2 linked regions of the Oryctolagus cuniculus genome follow. The protein of the gene in region 1 binds, or shares a complex with, the protein of each later gene. Links are inferred from orthologs where the notes say so. Each region holds a gene or a part of one and is shown on either strand. Other genes may lie near its edges. The genes, in order: AMFR and UBE2G2.

Region 1 (3,900 bases):
ACCTGCAAAGTGGAGCACTTCCTGGGAAATTATTATCCTTCCCAAATAGAGCTTTCCTTTATTTATTTTGCCAGTAAAGTTTAGCATGTTAGTGAAATGTCTGTGGATGGAAAGCCAAACTGAGTCCAGGCTATGTGTGAAAAAGCTTCGCCAGCAAAGGTGTAAACTCCTTGCACCCCTGTAGAGCCAGACTTGTTTCATGGAGACCTGGAACAAGGTGTTTGAAAAATTCCAAAGTGGGTGGGAACCTTGAGAATGTTTTTCCTAATGAACAGACTTTTAGAATACATGCAAGAAAAAGACCATAAAGCATAATTCAGTCCTCTAGAGAGTTCCTTAGATTTGACAGATATTTAACAGCATCCACTCTGGGCTGGGCACTACTTAAGGTAGTTTTTTCCTTTATACATTTGGAGGGGTAGTAAGCAGCTATAAAGACATATAAGTCACATATTAAGATGTAATTCACTGTTCAAGGTGTATACTGATTTTTAGTCTATTCAGAGTTGGCTTGCCATCATAATTTTAAAACATTACACCCCTTCAAAAAGAAATCATTACCCTTTGGCTATCAGCCTCCTATCAGGAAGCAACTATTAGCCTACTTTTGTGTCTATGCATTTTCCTATTCTGGACATTGCTATCAATGGAATCACAGTATTTGGACTTCAGTGTCACTGCTCTGATTTCGAATGCTTTCAAGATTTGTGCATATTGTAGCCTATATCAATTTTCATTTTCATCTTTGAATAATATTCCACTGTGTTGATTTCTCACATTTATCCATTCATTGTTTGATGGAGATTCCGGGTTCCCACATTTGGGTTACCGGGAGTATGGTGCTGTTATTTGTATGAGTTTTGTATGGATACAAGGTTTTCATTTCTCGGAATTGCTAGGTCAAATGGCCACTCTGATTTTTAACTTTGAGGAAGCGAGGAGACTTTTTTTCCAAAGTAGTTGCACCATGTCAGTATTCTCACTTGCACATTTTTATTTCCTGCCGAATCAGGTTGTTTCTAGAGTCTACTAGTAAACACTTAAGACTGTTTAACATTCCTTCTTTTGGGGGGATCTTTTACACCCCAAACACCACCTCCCTATTTGGACACCAGTTAAACTGCTAGGCCCACAGTGGTGCTCAGGGCTAACTACAGGGCAAGTGGCCGGTCCGCGGGCACTGTGGCCTGGCCAGGACTGCACGCCACTAGCGGCGGGCCTGAGCCTTGCCGGGGCTCCGGCTGGAGCAGATTCCCTCTGCGTCTGCCGGCCCGGCCCAGCGGGGCTGTCGGTGCAGGACGCGGGGAGCCAGTCCCCAGGGCCTGAAGCCCGGGCCTACCCCCACGAGGCGGCGGCGCGAGCGCTGGAGGCAGGGGGTGGGGGGACGAAGGCCGCGCCCCCGCGCCCGGCCCGCCCGCGTCCCGCTGGGGGCGGCGGCCCGCCCCGAGCCCGCCGAGGCTCTTCCGCGCCGGCAGGGGCAGCAGCGGGAGCGGCGCTGGGCGGAGCGGCGCCAGCAGCCAGGAGCGGCCCGGCCCGGCCCGGCGGTGGCAGCGGCAGCAGCGACGCCAGAGCCCGTGGGCGCCGTTTGTGAGGCTGCCACAGGCGCCTGGCCACAGCGCGGGGAGGCCTGGGGTCCGGAGGCCGCCGCTGCCGCCATGCCGCTGCTCTTCCTCGAGCGCTTCCCCTGGCCCAGCCTCCGCACCTACACGGGCCTCAGCGGCCTGGCCCTGCTCGGCACCATCGTCAGCGCCTACCGCGCCCTCAGCCAGCCCGAGGCCGGGCCCGGCGAGCAGGAGCCGCTAACGGCCTCGCTGCAGCCCAAGGCGCCCGCGCCCGCGGGGCCTGGCCCCGAGGGACCCCGGGCCCGCGACGTGGCCCAGTACCTGCTTTCGGACAGCCTCTTCGTGTGGGTAAGCGACGCTGCCCGGGCCCGCGGGGCAGGAGCGGCCTGGGGGTGGGGGTGGGGGCCGCCATGTCACCCATTATTCGTGGGGGGCGTGACGGCGCTTAGGGGTCCCCTGACTCCCGCGCCGCCGTGTGCGGGCCCGGGGGGTGGGTGGGGGGCGGGGCCGGGCGGCGGGGGGCTCCCTGGAAGGAGAAGGGTGAGGTTTGAGGGTTGGCCCGCGGGTGTGGAGGTGATGGGCTCCCCGGGGCAAGGCCGAGTTTGGGGGTTCGAGGAAGGGGGCTGGGGAGGCGGAGGGGCGGTGCTGAGAAGCATGGCTGGCCCGGGGAGGAGGACGGGGGGCCGAGGGCTGAGGTGCCGGCGTCCGGAAGGGGTGGAAGGAAACGCCGACTGGTAGGGTCGGGGTTTCTGAGGGGCCCTGAGGGGTACCCGGAGGCCTAGAAGGGCAGGTTCAAGGGGAGCCGGAGCCGGGCGCGCGGCTCCCCGCCCGCGTGCTGGGCGGTGCGGGGAAGTTGAAGCGCCGTTCCCTCCTCGCGTGGCGGTGCTCGAGCGGGAGGGCAGGGACGGGGAAGGGGGACGCCGAGCGCAGGGCGTGTTTGTGCATTCCCGTCGGGAGAGAGGCGCTCCTCAAAACTTTTTGTGCCTTTAGTGTTTTGCTTGTCCTCTTTGGGCGCTGTTTGATGTAACAAACCTCAGACAAACGGTGCTTCCTGTCCTGCTGCTCGTACCTGACGATTCGTGACGGTTTCCTTTGATGTCCGAAGGCAGCAAACATTCAGAGTGAAGAGGCACGCCGCTCATTCTCACTCAGAAGTTCTCTTTTTGGGGGCTCCATTTTAAAGCAAGGTTTCCAGTTCGTCTGCCCCTGCAAGATAAGCAGCATTTCAAGGTGTCCATGCTGGTTTCGGTTACGAGAACGATGACTTCAGACTGCTAGAGCAACAGTTCTGTTGTTTTGGCTAAAGAATTTTGCTTTCGCCTTGGTCTTGAATACCTCTTCTTGTAAACCCCACAGTAAGGAGGAAAGTTGCTCCAGGATTTAGTCTGTCGCTTGGATTTAGTATGGTGTCTTGAGTCTTGTTTGCCTCTGCAGATCTCTCATTTGGGGGAAAGAGTAGGCTGGAAACGAGGGAGAGATTAATATTCCAAGTTTGTAGAGTGATATGCAACTCATTGGTTCTAATTATTCCCACTGTGCTTCATCAGGAAGCAGTGGGATTTGTGAACTCTGGGGGCTGTGAATTAAGCAGAGTTTAATAGAAGGCAGTGAAGGGTGAAGTTCTGGGTGAAGCTCAGTCATACCGACCATAGAGGGAGAAGAGAACTCACATCTCTTAATTTCGAGCCTGGTTTTGCATTTGAGTTAGCAGGTAAACAGCTAAGCGATGTGAAGAGTGCTTTTGCCAGCTGTTAAGATTATGATGTAGTCTTTGATATATTTTTTCATTCTACGATATAAGTAAGCCTTTGAGAAGGAACCACCATTGTATTTAAACAACTGCAAGTATTGTTTAATGACTTTTCCCCCCAGAAGTTTCTTCTTACCATACCAGGGTTCAACTTTCAAGGTTAATATCTCTTCATAAAACATTACAGAAAGCCTTTTGCTTTTTCTGTGGAAATTATTTTTCCTAGAGGTATTAATTTATGCAGATTTGCCACTTTTTCCTCCCTCTGGGTAGTATTTCCAGTTCTCAGTGGATCCTCATTCTGATTTTCTCCCATCTTTCCTGTGGGATTTTCCTGTGTCCTTGTGTGCCTCCTTGCCTTCTCAACCCTTCACGTGTGCACTAGGAGTGCTCTCCATCGCTCATTGCCTGTCCCTGTGCAGCTGAGTGGAAGGTAGGGTCTCAGAAGCCTTCCCCATTGTTACCCAACAGATACCAGTATTGAGGAAACGTGGGCGGCTTTTGTCAGCAAGGATGCTCCTGGGCCCTGCTCATAGGCATTCAGATGAAATTTTTCTAAAACACAGCCAAGGCCAAGGAAGACAAAAC
Region 2 (3,719 bases), on another chromosome or scaffold:
TCTCGATCCTGCACGCGCCAGGGGACGACCCCATGGGCTACGAGAGCAGCGCCGAGAGGTGGAGCCCAGTGCAGAGCGTGGAGAAGATTCTGCTGTCCGTGGTGAGCATGCTGGCAGGTGAGTGCCGGGGCCGGGCCCCGCGGCCGGGCGTGGGAGCGGAGGTGCTGCTGGGGCCGTCGTGCCCCGCAGTCTCTCCTCCCTCGTGTGGCCGTGTCCAGTCCACGCTTCCTCGCTGCCCGTCCTATAGTGCTGTTTGCCTGCACACATTTCAGGGCAGTTGGGTACCGCCATCGTATCATTGACCGTCGTTAGCCAGACGTCCGCATACTCGGGGGGGTTTCTTGGGCCCTACTCTTGGTGCCAGGCACTGTGCTCCGTGTGCAGCTCCGGGTGACAGAAACCCCGACTTTAAAGGGAGCTTTCTGAGGGTAGACCGGAGACCAGGACACACACAGGCTGTCAGGCCAGTTCCTGAGAGGGGGCGGCTGGGCTGAGTCTGGGGCATGTTAGCACAGTAGGAGGGCGGGAGAGGCATTTGGGCCAGAGGAAGCCACCAGGCAGGGGCCCAGGGGCAGGAGGCAGCTGACTCAGTGGGGCACTGCCAGCTCACTGCGCTGAGCCAGGGCTGGGAAGCGGGGCGCGGTGGGAAGTGGGGCGGGCAGTACGCCGCAGGGGCAGTGCTGCAGCTGGTGCCGGGGGTGGCAGTGGAGGAGAGGCAGAGATGTGCTAGGTGGGGTCCAGGGACCCGGGGCGGCAGAAGGCTGCAGTGTGGGCCCCAGGCCACAGGGCACAGTCCGAGGCCTGGCTGACTTCTCTTTCTCCCGTGAAGGCCAGGGCCCGCCCACTGAGGGGCTCATCCAGGACCACTGGGTGAAGGGGACTCTGGGTAGGGCGGCAGGTGATGGCACAGCCCAGAGAGGTCACGTAGAGGGACAGGGGGCGAGGAGGAGCCTCCAGAGGTCGGGGAGACACAGAATTGCCGCCAGGGTGCCGGGGGCCTGAGGCAGCTGTGGTGGGCCGTGCGCCCTCTGCAGGAGCTGTGAGAGAAGTGACCACTGCAGAGCCCCTCAGAACGGAGACCGCGGTGTGGGTGGTGCAGCCACTGGCCCCACGCAGTCCCCTGGGAGGCTGTGTGTGCCTGTGGCTGTGTCGGGGTGTTTGCAGAGCACGATGGAAGATGGCTGGTCGTTGGCCTCTCGACACCCACGACAGTTCTCTCGCGAGGGCAGCTGCTGCCCCACGCCGTGTGCTGCGGTTGGTGGTGCCCAGCCGCTGGTGTGGAGAGCTGCGTCCCTCTCCCGGCCCGCAGGCTCAGTGCCTCCTGCTGGTTTTGGGGACCTCTCTCGCGAGGCCTCTCAGCGTTCTTAAAGGGAACGGAAGCGCTTTGCCGAGTGGCTTGCCTTCTTTTTTTTTTTTTTTTTTTTTAGTTATTATTAAATGACTTCTTATTTAAAAGACAGAATGACAGAAAGGGAGAGACGGCTTCCATCCACTGGTTCTCTCCGCCAGTGCTGCACAGCTAGGCCTGGGCCAGGCCAAGCCAGGAGCTCCATCCGAGTCTCCCAGTGGGTGGCAGGGCCCAAGCACTCGGAGCGCCCTCCGCTGCTCCCAGGTGCGTGAGCGGGAGCCGGGTGAGGCACAGAGCGGCGGGCGTGCGCCCTGGCCCGCCCCGCGCCTGGGTTGCTCGCGTCTGGAGTGGCGGCCCCGCCCCGCCTCGCCCCCGCTGAGTGCTGCTGTCCTTTCAGAGCCCAACGACGAGAGTGGAGCGAACGTGGACGCTTCCAAGATGTGGCGTGACGACCGGGAGCAGTTCTACAAGATCGCCAGGCAGATCGTGCGCAAGTCCCTGGGGCTGTGAGGCCAGGCCTCCGACGCGGAGTGACAGTGACACTGTGCTGGCACCGAAACAGGCCCCTGAGCAGAGCCGCGGTGTCTCACTTTCTCACCTTCCCCTGCCCGGCAGGCCTCTGCCACGGCGGCTTAGCACCTCGACGGCCACGTCACTACCTCTCCCCGAGGCCCCGCAGCTCCGCCGCCTCCCCTCCTGGAGCTCCGGGGTCGCGCTGGCCAGCCTTCCGGGACAGGGACACCGGCCATGCCCTGCCCGCCACGGGCCGGGCCGCTCCCCGAGCCCCCGGGCATCGGTCACCTTCCCGCTGCATCCCCCTCACGTCTGGGTACAGCGTGTGCACGTGATCACGGAGCGTCACACGTAGAAATGCCTTCTGAAGGCCTGTGGCCTGCGGGTCCCGGCGGCTGTGGAGGCCTCAGCGCCCCAGCACCCCGGCAGGGGCGGGGACACGGGAAGGCTGCATCGACAGCGTCCTGGCCCTCCGGGCGCCCCCTCCCTTCAGCAGAGAAGCAGACCCTCGCCCCAGCGGTCGTAGCTCGGAGCACAGAGCTGTGCCTTACCCCCGCCCTGGCCAGCGCGCGTGGAGCAGGCACACGAGCCTGGGCCCGGCAGAGCCCGCGCCGCTCACGGCCGGACGTGATGGCTGCGGGGCCTGGTGCCGGGAGGCGGCGTTACAAGCAATAACACATCTGTCACGTGCAGAGTCCACACAGGTTACATTTAAATAGGAACCTATTTTTGACGTAAGGGACGGTCTGTGAGACACAGTCGGCTTTTCCTCACGCTGCCCTCCATCCGCCCTGCCCTCCCTGACGCCGTGCGCGGAGCCGCTCCCTGACGCCGTGCGTGGCGGCCGTGGAAACCAGCTCCTGCCTTTCCTCCACGGGAGGGGTCGTGTAAAATCCGAGATGGGAGCGCATTGTATGTGCGCCTCCCGGCGGGGACGCGGTAACAGGAGCGGGCCGCGGGCCGGCATGGGGGGGCGGCACACAGGCCCGCAGGCTGCCTAGGCGGGAGAGAGACAGTCTACAAAAAGTATTTTTATTCATTTGTATTTATTAAGTGCCCCCAGCCCCTGCCTCTGTTCTGTGTGGAATTTAATTACTGTGTTGCAAATAAAGTTACCCATTTCCCCCGATCTGCAACTCCCTCTTTGTTGTGTTTTTCGTGTGCTGGGAAGCCTAAGCCCAGAGGCCCCGGCGGCGGCAGGGCCTCTCCCGGCCTGGAGCAGTGCTGGGCCGTGTTCTCCCTCCCTCCCTCCCTCCGGGACTGGATGTGACCTCGGATGCAGAGGGCGGGGAGCCCTGCTGGTGGCAGCGCAGCCCAGGGCGGGGGAGAAGCGCCCGTTCAGCCGGAAACCTGAAGTGGGAATCCAGGAAACCTGAAGTGAGAATCCAGGAAACCTGAAGTGAGAATCCAGGAAACCTGAAGTGGGAATCCAGGAAACCTGAAGTGGGAATCCAGGAAACCTGAAGTGGGAATCCAGGAAACCTGAAGTAGAATCCAGGAAACCTGAAGTGGGAATCCAGGAAACCTGAAGTGAGAATCCAGGAAACCTGAAGTGAGAATCCAGGAAACCTGAAGTGGGAATCCAGGAAACCTGAAGTGAGAATCCAGGAAACCTGAAGTGGGAATCCAGGAAACCTGAAGTGAGAATCCAGGAAACCTGAAGTGAGAATCCAGGAAACCTGAAGTGGGAATCCAGGAAACCTGAAGTGAGAATCCAGGAAACCTGAAGTGGGAATCCAGGAAACCTGAAGTGAGAATCCAGGAAACCTGAAGTGGGAATCCAGGAAACCTGAAGTAGAATCCGGCGTTTGGTGTCGTGAGGGGCACGCTGGGGCCCCTCCTGCTGGGCGAGTGACCA

The links.
Region 2: the proteins of AMFR (region 1) and UBE2G2 are in contact, whole or in part, in an NMR structure (PDB 2LXP), measured with the Homo sapiens proteins. The link is inferred for Oryctolagus cuniculus from reciprocal best matches to the Homo sapiens genes AMFR and UBE2G2. Residues at the interface, in NP_001135.3 of Homo sapiens: Ser574, Ala575, Arg578, Gln579, Met581, Leu582, Arg585, Lys586, Leu589, Leu590, Ala593, Arg594, Arg596, Phe597, Leu598, Lys600; in NP_003334.2 of Homo sapiens: Tyr13, Leu16, Thr17, Pro20, Gly23, Ile24, Val25, Ala26, Gly27, Pro28, Met29, Asn30, Glu31, Glu38, Leu40, Met42, Glu45, Glu50, Phe51, Val53, Val159, Gln160, Leu163, Gly164, Leu165.

What each region holds. Positions count from the first base shown.
Region 1 is NC_091449.1:40,179,211-40,183,110, reverse strand, and holds the start of AMFR (E3 ubiquitin-protein ligase AMFR), read left to right. Parts: upstream 1-1,444; 5' UTR 1,445-1,655; coding exon 1,656-1,910; intron 1,911-3,900. UniProt on the Homo sapiens protein: E3 ubiquitin-protein ligase that mediates the polyubiquitination of lysine and cysteine residues on target proteins, such as CD3D, CYP3A4, CFTR, INSIG1, SOAT2/ACAT2 and APOB for proteasomal degradation.
Region 2 is NC_091435.1:1,796,812-1,800,530, forward strand, and holds the end of UBE2G2 (ubiquitin-conjugating enzyme E2 G2), read left to right. Parts: coding exon 1-117; intron 118-1,745; coding exon 1,746-1,858; 3' UTR 1,859-2,990; downstream 2,991-3,719. UniProt on the Homo sapiens protein: Accepts ubiquitin from the E1 complex and catalyzes its covalent attachment to other proteins. In vitro catalyzes 'Lys-48'-linked polyubiquitination. Involved in endoplasmic reticulum-associated degradation (ERAD).